Alligator mississippiensis: one gene and its partner. The protein of the gene in region 1 interacts with the protein of each later gene in a pairwise test. Links are inferred from orthologs where the notes say so. Each region holds a gene or a part of one and is shown in the gene's direction. Other genes may lie near its edges.

What was found.
Region 2: the proteins of DAZAP2 (region 1) and PLSCR1 interact in binary tests that used the Homo sapiens proteins (3 or more experiments, as listed by UniProt). The two-hybrid records come from large-scale screens. The link is inferred for Alligator mississippiensis from reciprocal best matches to the Homo sapiens genes DAZAP2 and PLSCR1.

Annotation. Positions count from the first base shown.
Region 1 is NC_081838.1:10,212,197-10,219,800, reverse strand, and holds the start of DAZAP2 (DAZ-associated protein 2), read left to right. Parts: upstream 1-4,587; 5' UTR 4,588-4,701; coding exon 4,702-4,714; intron 4,715-5,555; exon of another isoform or gene 5,556-5,660; intron 5,661-6,323; coding exon 6,324-6,445; intron 6,446-7,010; coding exon 7,011-7,253; intron 7,254-7,604. UniProt on the Homo sapiens protein: In unstressed cells, promotes SIAH1-mediated polyubiquitination and degradation of the serine/threonine-protein kinase HIPK2, probably by acting as a loading factor that potentiates complex formation between HIPK2 and ubiquitin ligase SIAH1.
Region 2 is NC_081830.1:59,169,632-59,177,544, reverse strand, and holds the start of PLSCR1 (phospholipid scramblase 1), read left to right. Parts: upstream 1-4,813; 5' UTR 4,814-5,051; intron 5,052-5,212; exon of another isoform or gene 5,213-5,333; intron 5,334-7,913. UniProt on the Homo sapiens protein: Catalyzes calcium-induced ATP-independent rapid bidirectional and non-specific movement of phospholipids (lipid scrambling or lipid flip-flop) between the inner and outer leaflet of the plasma membrane resulting in collapse of the phospholipid asymmetry which leads to phosphatidylserine externalization on the cell surface.

The DNA of each region.
Region 1 (7,604 bases):
TAGCTGGAAAGAATTATAGCTTCTGGTTTCGCTTTGCAGAAAAGCTACTGCACTAATTTTAAATCTTTGCCTATTGGACTGATTTTAAATCTTTGCCTTAAAATTAACCTTTGTTTAAAGTTCATAAGATTGTCACAACATGCTTCTAAAATACACGTCCGCTTTTACATGAACAAATACATACATCACAACCTGGGTAATACAACCTAGATGAAGCTTCATCAGCCTGACAAAGGGTGTGTTTGTGCCCAAAAGCTTGCTAAGAAAATTTTTTCCAACTGTTTAAATTGGTCTAATAAAAGATATCAGATTTACCCAAAGAACCTTGTCTGCCAGTGTCCTTAGATCAGGGGTGGGCAAAATGCAGCCCGGGGGCTGGATGCAGCCCGCCAGGCCATTCTATCCAGTCTGCAGGGCCCCTAAAAAAATTAGAAAATTAATTAACCTGCCCTGGGCTGCCTGTCATGTGGCCCTTGATGGCTTTCCGAAACTCAGTAAGTGGCCCTCTGCCCAAAATAATTGCCCGCCCCTGCCTTAGACCAACACGGCTATAACCTACGCCCCTGAAACCTGGGTAATGTGCATTCATAGTAAAAAGCATGTAACTGCTGTTTCTGCTTCTAATTTATATTCTACATCCTATTTTCAGGAATAAAAAAAAAAAAAAGTATTTTGAATTAAAATAATTCAGAGTTGACTGGCTCCTCTCTACGATCACAACAAGGTCATATTTAAGATCTGATGAGTACCAGATCTATTTTTTCAGAGGAACTCCTTGAACAAGGCATTGTAGGCAGCTCTTTCCCGTTCAAGGAAGTACATAAATGCAAGCCTGACTTCAATTAGACTTAAGCAGAAACTTAAATGCCTGAACTGAGGCCCGAGTCAGATATTAATACCAGTGCACAAACATTAATAAATACACCCCCATTGCCGACAACATTTTCATTAGTAACCGGATCAGTTATGTTCAAAATGTCTTTGCTTCAGTACAGCTGTTATTTGAGCCTCTGCAGCACAATTCTGTTGAGAGTCTGGTTTGCATATGCTGTACTGTGATTATGAATATTTAAATACTTCCATCTAGTTGAATTTCACACTCATTTGCATACATTGGCATACTATTAATATAATACATAAGGGGGATAAAAGGGTACACATTGCATTTTTAATTTATCTCCAAGATGAATTTATTTTACAAGCGCCAGAATCTTTACTGCAGAAAATAGCTCGGTCAGAGAAAGAGAGAGAAGAAAAAAAATTATATTCAAATGTGGCCTAGGAATAGTTGACAGAAATAACATTTGCTCTGGCCGATTGTCAAGCCCCTTGTTCCAATGCTTGCTACGTCCACAGGATATTTTGGTAGAAGCCCAAATTAGTATTCCAGCTTTCTTGTCTTTGCCTCTCACTGGTTTAGACATTTGGTTTCTCTACCATACGTAGCAAAGGGAGTGCACTTAACCATGGAGTTTCTGACACCCCTCAGAGATATGCAATTCCACAACTGATGCATTTGCCACTCACCAGCTTCCTCCAGATGTTCTGGGACTAGGCCTGCCTTTCCCACTGCCTAGAGCTCAGGTAGAGAGAGAAGTCTACCATGTCTTTATGTTGGCCTGCAGGCTTCACCTGTCCCGCCAGAGAAACTCTGCCCCCAACTAACTCATGGACAAAACTCCCATTCATTTCCATGGGGCCAGAACTTTGCCCTGGGGGGGTAGCAAGCAGGAGTTGTCACAAAGTAATTATCAGCTAATGATTAATTACTATTTTGATATCACCAATTAGGCTTCTGCACCTGCAGGGTTCTGAGTGGCCACAACTGTTGTTAACCTCAGGCTAACAACACAGGAGTATAAGTACTGCACACACGTTGGGAAACCCAGGGCCTTTCCAGGTGTGAGTTTGATTTAAATTGAGGGGAACCCACCCCCCCAAAAATTATCCATGTCAATGGGCACCTCGACATGTTCATTAATGTGCTTTTGCTAATGCCGATTAAAATTAGTACCACTAGAAAAAGGCACATTAGCTTTTTTTTAACGTGCATTAGTGAAAGCCCACTTTTTTTGGTGATGCTTTAATGCTCACTAAAGCACGTGTGTTGCCATGCTGGTCTGCACGTTTTGGCCCTGCGCAACATCACCGTGAAAAAAGCAGTGCCACTCCCTGGGGCATTGGCCTACTTTGGGCAGATCTAAACTTTCCTGCAACTCCAATGTTTTGCATTTTAGCTGCTAAGTGCAAACAAGTGTCCCAGGCCACCCACAGACAGAAAACCCTCCCAGTCCCAGTCCCTCTTAGAATGCTTTGTTCTAAGCACAAGGGGCATTTATATGCAAGGCTGGGGGAGATGCTTTAATTAGAGCAGCTCCGAGTGCCACTCTAATTAAAGCGCCCTGAGTGTTTCCTTTATCACTGTCCCCATGCTTCAAAATGATGGTAATTGCCATGCTCCAGCAGACTTGATTAATTGAGTCTGCTTCAACACGCTGGAATTACAGCACATAGGAGCAGCCTTGCTGCTCGTGTAGGTACTAAGAAAATGCACATTAGCCTATTTTAATGCACATTAACTAAATAGCACTGTTTTTAAAGTGACACTTTAATGCACATTAAAATAGGCTAATGCGCTTTAAAGCGCACGTGTAGATGTGCCCAAGCAGACCTTTTGTGCACAGCCTAGCACTTGAAAGTAGCCTTTAGTTTTAAGGGCGTCAGTTCAGGGGTGATGACACTTTGGGCTCGATTTGCAGAGCAGCGCTAAGAAATGGAGCTTTGAGTGCTGTCTCCATGAGGCTGCAGGTTTCTCAAACAAGATAGTATATATATATATATTTAAATCCTTCCAGGTTTTCAAAATCTCTGGAAGGTGCTGGCTCTCCTGAGTGGAAATGAAATGCTTTGCTTGCTTTTTTTTTTTTTCTCTCCCGGTCACAAAAGAACATGTGCTTTGCCTTTGCTGGGAAGTTTCCTGTATAGCAGCATCAGGAGACTAGAAAGAAAGAATGGTAATATTGACACATTTCCATTAGTGAGGGGTGGGGGTGATCCTGCTAAATGCTGAGCACCCTCCACTCTCCCACCGGTCACCATGAGCTTTGAGACCATGCTCAGCACCTTACATGCAGTAGATTGCAAGATCAGGGCCTTTACAGGCAGCAAGTCTCCATCAGCCTTCAGAAACCATTTTCTAGCTCGTGACGAGAAAACGGCTAGCGTTTTACCCTTCTCTTGCTAATGGCAATGCATTTTCCTTTCCTCCCTTTCTCTTCAGCGCTTACAACTTCAGCGATGCAAAAACCCACTTCCCTGGGTATTTTTAATAGGCGGGTTTCAAGCTGTCTATACTGATCTTACTGCCACTTGAAAGGGTAAATATTTTTTTATAGTTCCCCATACAGGAGCAAGGTGAAGAACATTTGATGCTCATAAATTATTTATAAAGTCCTCACAGGCATACCAAGCCGATGTGCATATTCATCAGGAACCCTGTACATTATTCATGAGGAGTTCACTTAAACACAGAGAAGAATGAACCGGTTGATTGAGATGCTTAAGAAGGAGCTGGAGAAAGAGGCCTGAGGATTTTTTCTCCTCCTCTTCCCCCCCAAAACCAGGAGGCGTCAGGAAAAGTTTACATCTAAAATTCAGAAAGCGGGGATGAGTCTTTCAACACTGGGAGAACAGGCGCATGCTCTCCCGCAGACAAGAGGAGGGAGGTTTGCCCCAGGGGCAGCAATCCCTCGGTTTGAGGACAATCTTGACCGTGGTTCAGCAACCGGTCTTGGGGTGACTGAAGAGCCCAAGCCTGGAGGCACAGGCCCGGCCCAGGGCTGGGATTTCTGCTTGGAAATCGATCCCGCGGGATGAAGGGAGCGGAGGTCTTGCTCTTGAACTGTGCTGACTGACGCACCTTTAGTCTGTGTATGTGTACATACACGCATACAAACATACGCATGCACACACGCACATATACACACACATGCACATACATATATGTACACGCACATACATACACATATGTTCATTCCATCCAGGAAGAGCACACACCAACTGCTGACACTTCCTTAGCCTGATGAAGGGTTTCTGAACCCGAAAGCTTGCTTAATAACTATTCTCCAACCATTTGAGTTGGTCTAATAAAAGATATCAGATTCACCCGAGGAACCTTGTGTACATATACATACACGCACATATATACACAGACGCACATATACACACACAGACGCACATATATACATGCACATATATACACATACACGCACATACATGCACACACGCACACGCATATATACACAGATACATGCATAGATCTACATACATACATGCACATGCACATATATACACATGGACACAAATACACACATGCACATACACACACACGTACACACATGCATAAACACAAGCACATATACACACATGCACACATACATGCACACACGCGCGTAGACACAGACACACGAGCCAGGAACAGGCCGCCCCTGCCCGACCCCTCCCAGCCGTGACGCAGCAACTCGGGAGCCCCGCCCCCGCCCGGCCGCGGCCCCTTTAAGAGCCCGCGCGACGGCGCCCTGACGTCATGACGCTCTGCGGCAACGTCGCGCGTCCCCTCAGCCCGCAGTGACAACAACAAGGAAGTGAGTGCAGCCGCCGGCCCGGACTGACGCGCAGCGACCCGGCCGCAGCCCCGCCGCCATGAACAGCAAAGGTGCGGCCCGGGCAGCGCCCCCCGCCCCTTGCAGGCCAGCGCCGCCGCCGGGCACCGCCGGGCCGGGCGGGGGGCGCAGCCAATGGGAGCGCGGCGGGGGGCGGGGGTTCGGGTCTCCATGGCGCCGCGCGCCTCGGCCTGGCCCTTAACCCCTTCCCTGCTGCGGAGGGCGATGGGGGGGCAGGCGGGGGTGGGGGCCAGCCGGAGCCTCCTGCCAGGCCCCGTCACGGGCGCGCTTGGCCTTGTCCACGGCCCCAGAGGAGTGTGTACACACTCACTACAGCCTGCACAGAATATGCACACACATGCGCGTGCACACCACGCTCATTAACACCGATATAGAATTCCCACATGCACACACGCTTGTTAAAACCCGTACAGCATTCACAAACACGCTCGCACACGTACACCTGTGTGCGTGCTCAGGTGTCGGTGTCGCTTGGCGGCACCGCAGAGGTTAAACGTGTCCATGCAGAACCTGCCGTCCGTGCGGGGGCTCACACTAGGGTCCCTCTTCCCGCCCCTCCCCTTCACCCTGCCCTGGACTCGGAATAGATTAAAATGCTGCTTTTGGGCATTTACAATCCACGAGCGGTCTTTAAACATAATCGGAGGCCGGACAGGAGCTGACAGTGGCTGGCTGGAGTCCGGCCTCTCTGTGGTTACCTGCTCGCATGCAACCGAGTAGGTAAACACGCCGCTCTTAAACACCTGATAGCAATGGGGTTAAGGGGAAAAAAAAAAAAAGATTAGAAAATAGAGCACAGTGTCAGCTGCACTCAGAACTGGGCAGCGGTGACTTCAAAACTTAACAGCAGTATTAATTATTACCTCCCGTCAGCCTTTGCTTGCAGATTTACTCATGCCTACAACTGCTCTTGTCCATACACGAAGGTGCACGTCACAATAGTGGTCTATCAGCTCTCATTCCGTAACAGTTAAAAGGGTAAGAGGTTGGTAGGTGCCTTGTTTTTGTCGGGGTGTATCGGTGTTTTTCCAGCTTCAGGCCTCCTTTTTTTTTTTTTTCCTGAAGAAACCCAGTCTCGTCTTTTGGGAGCTCAGCTTTTCCGTGACTCGAGGCAGATGGGGTTAGTTTTGCATCGTATAATGTTAGCATCCTGAACAGATGCTCCGGGGGGGTTTGCATATATGATGCAACGCATCCGTAGCTGCAAACGGATCCATACGTAGCGTAGTTGATGCCCTGCTATCTGTGCTACTTGTAGGAGAGTGAGTCAGCTTGAAGTCCAAGCAGTGAAGTGCCAGCTTAGAAAAATGTGGTTTGTTGGTAAACTTTCCACAGGAAGTTGCTTAACTTTTTTTTAACCTGCTTCCTTGTGAAGGACTATAACTGCTAGCTACCTCTTGCTTTCAGTTCTGACTGAAGTAGCTGTATTGGTCGAGAGTGATGAACGGGCTCTGTGGCTGGGAATCGCATGGGGGGTATCTGTTGGTGCATGCCTAACACCTCCAGGGTTAACGATCTCTAGCAATCCTGCTTAAAAAAACTGCAGAAGAAGGGGCTTTCCATGAACTCATCCACCCTCTGTCCGATGTCTGTAAGGGTAAAACTTAACACCAGCTGTATTCTTCTCTCTCTCTCTCTCAGGTCAATACCCAACACAGCCTTCCTACCCAGTCCAGCCCCCTGGTAATCCTCCAGTGTATCCACAGACCATGCCTCTTCCTCAGCCACCACCGTACACTGATGCGCCTCCTGCTTACTCAGAGGTATAAGGCATGGCCCTTTTCTTGCTCTTGCACCTTTTCTCCCCTCCAGCCTCCCATTTTGAGCTATTAACACATGACAGCTCATTGCCTGTATTTCTGGCAGCTTGGAACACCTTTCACCTCATAGGACAAGAGCAGCAAGCGGTCTCAACTGATGATTGCTAAATGATTGCTCATTGACAAAGCCAATGAGACCTCTGCCCCAAAGTGCATGTGTACATGCTCACTTGGTGACTAAACCAGGGTGCTATTCGGGCATTTCCTCTTGCAGATCTTGAATTGGCCCACTCTCTTAAATGGCAGAAACTTCCTTCAGAGCTTCCCACAAAGTGGCTGCTATGGTGCAAAAGCAAAGTAGAGGGTCTGAAGAGGGTGTTGTGCCTCGACCTCTCGTAAAGTGAACAAACTTCTCGTTAGAAGTGATGGAGCTATCTGTGCAGCTGATCGGGCTGCTACGCCTTTATCACATTATCAGCACTTTGAGGAAGGATCTGAGGAAATGGCTTTGGAGCAAGGAATATTTCTTCCAATGCACTTGTGTTCTTTTTTTTTTTTTTCCCTTCAGCTCTACCGGCCAAGCTTTGTGCCTCCAGGGCCTGCCACCATGCCCACTATGTCTGCTGCCTATCCTGGTACTTCTCTGTTCCTGCCTGTGGCACAGTCTGTGGCTGTGGGACCCATAGGCTCCTCCGTTCCAATGGCATACTACCCTGTGGGTCCTGTCTATCCCCCAGGCTCAGCGGTTCTTGTCGAGGGTGGCTTTGATGCTGGAGCACGGTTTGGAGCTGGTGCCACTACTAATATCCCTGTAAGTATGAGCATACCACAGAAACCCCATGTGTCACTTTTGGAGCTACTCAGTAAAGCTGGCAGTCGGGGGCAAGACGACAGTCCTTAAGTCTTCAACACCAGGCATTTTCTCATAAGCATTTAAGCACAATTTCACAAGCAGGTTCATGGAAATTTCGAGAGAGAGTAGGCAGACACTTGATTGGGGTGGCTTAGCTGGGGATGATCCTGAGCAGGGGGCTGGACTAGATGATCTCATGAGGTCCCTTCCAGCCCTGCTTTCCTATGATCTTATAATTGGCTGCAAACTGAGTGCTGGTGTTTGGCTCCCTGTGTTATAAGATGCATCTTGTACTCTGGCTGTTGTCCA
Region 2 (7,913 bases), on another chromosome or scaffold:
TTTAGTCACACAGGGAGATGTAGGATAGGCTTATTTAGGATGTCCGGGCCGCTTAGTGCCTTGCCCCGCAGTTTTTTACCGCCCAGACAAAAGGTTTCTGACCTGATACCGGCTCATAAAATGGAAATGGGGAGGGAAACACAAGAGGGATCCTTTTACTCCTGCTGTCAGCAGAAGCTACTGGGACAAGGGGTTTGGAAAAGACAAAATTACTCAGACGCCCTGTCCACTGGGTCACGAGGTTTCAGCTGGGCCCCCTTATTTTTGACGCTACCTTTTTAGGCAGAATCGGGGCGGCTAGACCTAGCCTTAGTCCCAGACCTGGTCAGTGGCTTTTTTTTTTAAATACACACACACACATTCATTTAATAGCCAGATAGAAAAAGACAAAATTACTCTGAAGCCCTGTCCACTGGGTCATGAGGTTTCAGTTGGGCCCCCTTGCTTTTAAAACTGCCGTTAGGCAGAATTGGGGCTGCTGAACCCAACCGTAGTTTTAGACCTGGTCAGTGGCTTATATTTTTAAATACACACACACACGCATTCATTTAGTCAGCCAGACCTCCTCCCCCACACCGCCTTAGTTAATTAACTACAAGCCCAATGTGCTGTTGGATGAAGGTGCTTCAAAGTTTTTCCCTGAATAAAACATACGTTACCAGACAGAAAATTGGATTCTTTACCAGACAGAAAATTTTAGCCGGCAGTAAGGTTTAGACTGACCTGTTTTTAACAAGGTTTAGATCTAGTTACCACGGCTAAGTTGGGAGCCTACAGGCAGTTCTCCTCTGAAACCCCAAAAGAGATTTTGAATTAGGTCTCTTACCTCTTAAGTTTGGCGCCTCAGGGTTTGGAGGGGGGCAGTCCGTGGTCCTCCTTCTTCAGCACGTGTTCTGGATCCGAGTCACGGCACCAGGAATTGTTGTGAAAACACACGCAGAATACTTTTGAATCAGGTTAACAAAAGCTTTTATTTAAAAAAAAACTACAGCTGTAGAGGGGATTCCAAAGTGACATAGATTTCCCAAGCACTTAGAAGAAGTCCGCCCCCCAAAAGCAAAATCAGGAGGCTTATAAAAAAAAAAAAAGCAGCTATAAACATTACTTCATTGCTGTAATCAAGATAGGAACTTATGGGGGAGGCGAGGTTAGTTCACAAACCTCCTTCTTGCACCTGGAAATCAGAGTTGTACATACTTTTTGCTATCTTCAAGGCTGTGGTGAGTGAAGCAGTTGCAGAGGAGTTACAAAGAACAAACACTTTCCCTTATCTGTTCTACTGTACAGAGCCAGCAATTCTCTACAAAGCAGTTATGTCATCTTATAACTCAAATAATCAAAGTTTAAGGCATTTATTTTTTTTTCTGATTCCACACTAATTATGCTTGTCCTTCTTGTTCTCTACATAACAATGAAGTTATAGTCCTCTAAATTTTTTACATTAAGTATATCCTGTACAATATGATTTGTAGTTTTTGTAAACATGAACATGCTTATTTCACAGTAAACCTCCCTAATCCCAAGTAAATTTTGCTATCTGCAAATACAAGTAGCAAATTTACTCACGATTAGTAATGGCGCAAATAGTGCTCATGTAGGTGCCTGACTGGGAACAAAATCTACTCCCGGTCACCCATCCACCAGGAGGTAGAAAATAATTCCCTGCCCCTAGGAGCTGCCTGCTGCAGGGGTAGACTCTGCCACAGGAGCCTGGGCGGGGACTATGTCCCCCCTGCTCTGGCAGCAGGGAACTCCAAACCCCCTGCTCAGATATCTCCGATAGGGAACCAAGGACTGGGAGATCCTTATCTCCCAGCCTGAGCTCTGTGGTGGAGGGCCTTGAGTTGGGAGACACTTATCTCCCAGCGCTGGCTCCATGGTCCAAGCCCCTAGACCTAGGAGCTCAGCCTGGGTGATAAGGATCTCCCAGGATGAGTCCCACAGTCGCAGAGCTGGCACTGGGACCTCCCTCCTGGTGGGAGCTGGGAAACCTGTTCCCTGCCCAGCTCCCCTCCCCAGGCTCCTCTGTCTACATCTTGCCACTTGTCTCACCAGTAAAGATCCTGGTGTTCCCCATTTAAAAATTCCAAATTCTCTGATGAACCCAAATTTTCTCATTAAAATACCCCAAATCTCTGTTATTTTGTGATTTAAAATGAAACAGCACTATATGTAGAGTTGGGCAATGCTTTACTGATATATTTACAATTTTAAAGCAATTTGGAAGCCTAGCAGTGCCTCTATCGTCATAATAAACAAGTTCTAAATATCCTATACACTTTAGCATTTCCTTTCTTTTTTTCATCATAGAAAAATCAGAGCCGCCCCTTTCCACTTTGGTCACCAGGATGTGGGGTGCTGAGAAGCACTGATATCCCAGTGTCCTGCCTGCCCCCACTAGCTCCCTCCCAGCACCAGGACATGCGTCCAGCTGCAGTTGTTCCATCCACTGCTTTGTGGCTGTGAGCAGTACCAGCCCTTGCTGCTCTGCTCCCTGTCTGTGCCCAGGCCCCAGCGCTTCCCCATGCCTTTCCTGGGAAGCCCTTGACTAGGGCTCAGGGACTGGGCTGAGCAAGCTCCTTTCCTTTCAGGCTGGCCTCCCCCTGTACAGGCTGCTCTAGGCAAAAAGCGGGGCTCTAAGCCCAGCTCTAGCTACCTCTCTGACCCAAAGCCCTCCCCTACCCCCAACCCTCTCTCTCATCCCTGCTACCTCTACGCCTCCTCCTAGCCCATCACATCCTGCAAGCGGTTCCTCGTATCAGGCCAGGCCGGCTCCATGAAGGCAGGGAGCCTGGTGTGCAGTATCGAGACTCTAGTGACAGAAAGAGCTGCCCAGTCCTGCCCAAAGGTGCATGCCCCCGGGTCAAGCCAAGGCAGGCCTGTGCTATGTGGCACAGGTGGTGCTCGGTCTCAGGCAGACAGGGCTGCAAGACGCTGCAGGGGGGCTCTGCCAGCAGGTGGCAAAAGGAAGAAAATCAAGGTGATTTTTGTAAAGACTATGGAAAAACTTGAAATGTACAATATCCTTGAAAAAATGTTTCCTTTGATACTTACAGTAAAGAATAATATGAACTGGTTGATGCATAGTAGACTGACTTAATTCTCAAATACATACATTTGGATTGCTGTGACTTTTTCATGAAAAGCCCCTATTGTGTATGTAATACAATGAGCTGGTGAGAGACTGACTGATACAGGATACATGATTTAATCTTAATTAGATCTGTACATGCTGGTAGAATCAGTGAAATACAAATTGGGTGCTCAGTAGATCTGGTGCTCAGTAGAAATCCAAGAGGCATCGTTTCACAAGGAAAAGACTTGAGAAAATAGAAATAGCAAAGAAAGTAGAAAGAAAAGTCTTCCTGAAAGTTCTATTCATATGTGGTAGAAGTAGTTGAGAACATGAACCAATAACAAATATGTCCTTTTAATAGAATACAGGACTACAGAGCAGTGTTCATTAATGGAAAATTATAAATTATTCCCTGAGGAAAAAGCACATTTCATGGTTAGAACATAACATATCAGTACAGGTAAAACTTTGCAAATACTGCATACCCACTGCCTTTACTGGACTGCAAACTGACGTGATTAGCTAATGTTATTACTGTAATGCAAAGAATGGAAAATTGATGGAAAATTTCCATCAATGATAGAAAATTCTCTGATTTTGAAAGCCTAAAATGTCTAGCGGCTTACCATGTTAAATTAGACAAATCAGTACCTTGGAATTCCAAAGTAAAGTCAAAACTGAAAATAAAAAAGTTGGGAGTTACTGAAAATGTAAAATAAATAATAGGTTGCTTTTATACCATGATTGTAAAGGCATGAATGAGTTATAATCCATAAGCTTTAAACACAGTGATAAAATGTAAATATGCACAGAAATCTGTTGAAATGGTACCTGCGTTCTTTGGGGGAAAAGGTGGGGAGCATGTTTTCTGTATTAAATAGTAATGAAAGATCACTGATTCAGTTTCTACTGATTCAGTGAAAATATATGCAGATTACACTTTTAAACCAATTTAACTAGTTAGTAGCTTAAAAACAAAACTACTAGGTTTAGTGCAACTGATCAGGTGGCAATTCCTATTAATTCACAGCCCCCCCCAGGATGCTTTGCACCTTCCCTGCAAGCCCACTAGCCTTGGCCCAAGCGGTGTGCTCCAGCAGAGCAGGAAGGCATGCTCTGCCCCTCCCTCTACCTGCTGTTTCTGGTCTGAACCATGCAGGGCTGCAGTTGCACTTCAGGAATCAAAAGCTGGTGTCTGTTCACTTTTTTTATTGGCTCAACCTATGCAGCTTTAGATTAACCTGTGAAGACTGCATCAATTTAGCCTTGGTCTTTTTGACTTTCTCTATGGAGGCCAGGGATCTTTAAATTCATAGAGGGTTAGGCATGTTTTGCAGGACCAGGTAACATCAACCTGAATTCAAGGCAAACAGAGAGAAATCCCTGCAATATAATTTCCTTGTCATTTTTTCATGGAACCTCACTTTTTGTTTGTTTGTTTGTTTGTTTAATTCCAGCTTTAATGGATGCTGGACAAAACCGCAGTGAAGATGCTTGATACCGATTCCCTGCAGCACTTACTTCGCTGCCTCCATCACACACGCAGGGGAGCTTTGGGGAGTTCTCTGGGAGTGAAAAGGAGGTGGCAGCGATCCCTGCAGACGGACTGTGCTGAAGGCGCTGCCTAGCAAGCCGGCGAAAGGCCGCGCGCGGTTGCGGGGCGCAGGAGCAGCGAGACGCTGCCCGTCGCCGCACGGGCTGCAAGCAGCGGCGCCCGCCCAGGACGACGGGCCCCGGTGCTGGGAGCAAGGCGGCCCCGACGGGGCACCCGCACGGACCCGCCTGCAGGCCAGGCGCCGCCCTGCTCCCTCGGCGGCCGCGGGGGCCCGGGCCAGCGCCTCTCCGCGCCCCGCCCAGCCTCCTCCCCTGCCCTCGCCCTCCGGGCTTCTTCCCTCCCCGAGGCGGCCGCGGCTCCTGCCCCATCCCAGGCAGCGCGAGGGAGCGGTGCGGCGAGGCGAGGCGAGGCGAGGCGAAGGCAAGGGGGTGCGCGGGGCGGGAAGCGCGGCCCCGGGGCTGGCGGGGCGGTGCGGGTCCGGGGCGAGGGCAGGCGTCCGCCCAGCCCCTGCTCGCGGCCCCTTGAGGCAAAGCGAAAGCCGCACCTGCAGCCTTTCCAAACAGGCTGTCCGCCCCCTTTCCGGCAGGGAGCGGCGCCGTTACTTCCTCGTTGCTGAAGTGCGGGCAGCCCGGCCCCGGCCCCGGCCCGAGCTGGTCCCCGGCCGCTCTGCCTGAGGGGCTCCCCGCACAGCCCGCCGCGCAGGTGCGTCCGGGCGGGGCGGGGCGGTGTCTGCCGCGGGGGTGCGTGCTAGGCCCGAGGGCGCGTCTTAGCAACAGTTCTGGCTATTTAATAAGGACTGGGAGGCAGAGCCTGAGGCGCTGTCTGTCATCTCTCTCCTGTTATCGTATCAACAAGCTTGTGGCCCGACTTGGCCAGTGGCAGAAAACTGGATGCTAATGGTTGTCTTTACTGGACAGCGTGACTCAAACACCAAATCTAAACTCTTCTCCCCTCTGGCTGACCAGGACCCTTTGATCTGTATTACGGGAAGGAAGAGGGGTCACATTTTAGGTTACTGGTGTCTCATCCCTCTGGCATCCATGTTAAAATATTTAATCTGCTATTTTTCCTGGCCTATTGCTGAAATGCAGACAGTAGCTATAACTGATTTAAGTTAACTTGACTATAGGCAGTGCTGTAGCGTGAAGGGGCGCCAACAGGCACTACCCGGCAGAGGCACAGGATGGAGCCACAAGCAGCTAGTTCGGCAGGGCACAGGGGAGGGCGGCTCCCATAGCTGCAGGGGCTCCTGGGCAAGCATGGGGGGCATGTGCCCCCCAGATCGGTGCATGGGGTGTGGGCAGGCTGCTGCTGCGGGCTTTGCCCCGGGTGCCAAACTTCCTTGCCATGAGACTGACTACAGAGAAGCTTGGTAGCCATGTATAATGAATCCACCTGTTCCTTATTAGGTTCATATGCCCCTGGATAAAGTGGTAGGATGAAATACAACTAGAGGGTGGTGAAGCACTGGAACCGGCTGCTTAGAGAAGAGGTAGAATCTCTGTCCTTGGAGGTTTTTAAGACCTGGGTAGAGAAAGCCTTGGCCTAGATGATCTAGTTGGGGGTGGTCCTGCTTTGAGCAAGGGGTTGGGCTAGATGACTTCCTGATGTCCCTTCTAACCCTGGCTTTCGATGATTTTGTGTGCGTCGCATAGACAAAAGCAGGATTCCTTGATATGCAGACTTGATAAAGCCCCATAAGCACATAGCTGTTGTTGCTGGCTGTGGATATAAAGGAGAGGTGATCTCTGTAAGTACCATAGGCTGGCCTTCTTGGTAGGATTTGAATATTATGATAGAAACCTTAATTTGGACTATGATCTTGTATCATCATTGTTATTTTCAAGGTAAGGGTGCTTTGTTCCCAGTTTGATTTGCAGGAAGTGAGCCTGAAGGTCACAAACGCATTAAAAACCATGGTCAGATCTCTGATAAAATGGGAGAGTCCTCCAGCCAACCTTATTTGGAAGTTCGCATTTTGCCCAATTTTGGTTTTTTTGGATATGCAAAGGAAACAAGATGTTCAAAAGGACTTTGAAGCTGTGTACCAACAGTATGTTCAGCAGGCAGGGACCATTCATCAAGTAGTACCCAAATTCCTCAGATTACTTCTTCACCAGTATCACTTCCTCATTTTGCCTGGATTCAGTTTCATCCCAGTTTGTATGACTTTTGGTTTTGGATATCATTTTTGGATGAGAGTTGCGAAAAAAAGCCCCTAACTGTTACATTTTCTCAGATAGCATTTACCTTTTCAAGGTGAAACGGTCATGCTTCCTCTATTGTGAAACTAGAGTGATAAAAGTATGACTATATTACTGAAGGGAGTGAGAATGTAGTTAACTGCAAATTCTGCTGGGATTAGATGAAATTGCAATATTTGCTATTTTTCTTTCATCTCATTATTCATTAGGTGCTTGCTGTCATCAAGTCTAGTGGGAATCTCATGGCACAGCACTCAGCTGAGCCTGAATCTCTGTCTTGCACATTGCATAGTTGCATCTGTGCAAAGCGAGCATATTTAAAAAGATAACTGAGTGGTAGCGCTTCTACACTCAGTTTATACTTGGGTAGTGGGCTGCAAACAGCTCAGTGGCTCAAGCCCTGTGACTCCAGCTTCCCCAGTAGCACTTCTTGCTATGTCTATCTGGGAACTGCATTTTGAGCAAGAGAGAGCACAGTAAGGAGTGGTGGCAACACAGAGAGGCTACAAGCCTCTTCCTTCCTTGGTAGTGTCCTGTGAATAAATGGGTTTAGTGACTCAGTGCTTGGTGCACACCTTTTCTCTTTAACTTAACCCCTACCCTGCTCCACTTAAATTGGGAGTTAAGTGGCAGTATTCTCCCAACACAGCAGGATTATCTGATGCTGTTTTTATTAGGAACCTGGCACCTGGACATTACACCTGCAAAACAAAAAATAGGGCAAGTTTACATCAGTGTCCAGAGTGGACAGATGACAAGCTTTTTTGGAGTAGCTGCTGCTGTAGGCATTATTGCATTGCCATGGGGTGTAAAGGGAGCTGTTAGTAGTTTTGCACTGAATGCATCTTCCCCCGGATAGAAATGGACATGATACTTCAATTGGTGGAGTTTTACTTCAGTTTTTCCCCTTCCTACTCCACCTGGAACCTCTATGCTGGGTTCTTCTAAACTCCACTGGACAAGTGTTATATGGGCATGGTTTAACACTGCTCCTTCCAGGTTTAAAGTTGAAGTGCTTTGCTACATTTGGATTGTTTTTGGCTGGTTTTCACACAATAATTCGAATGCACCAGCTTCA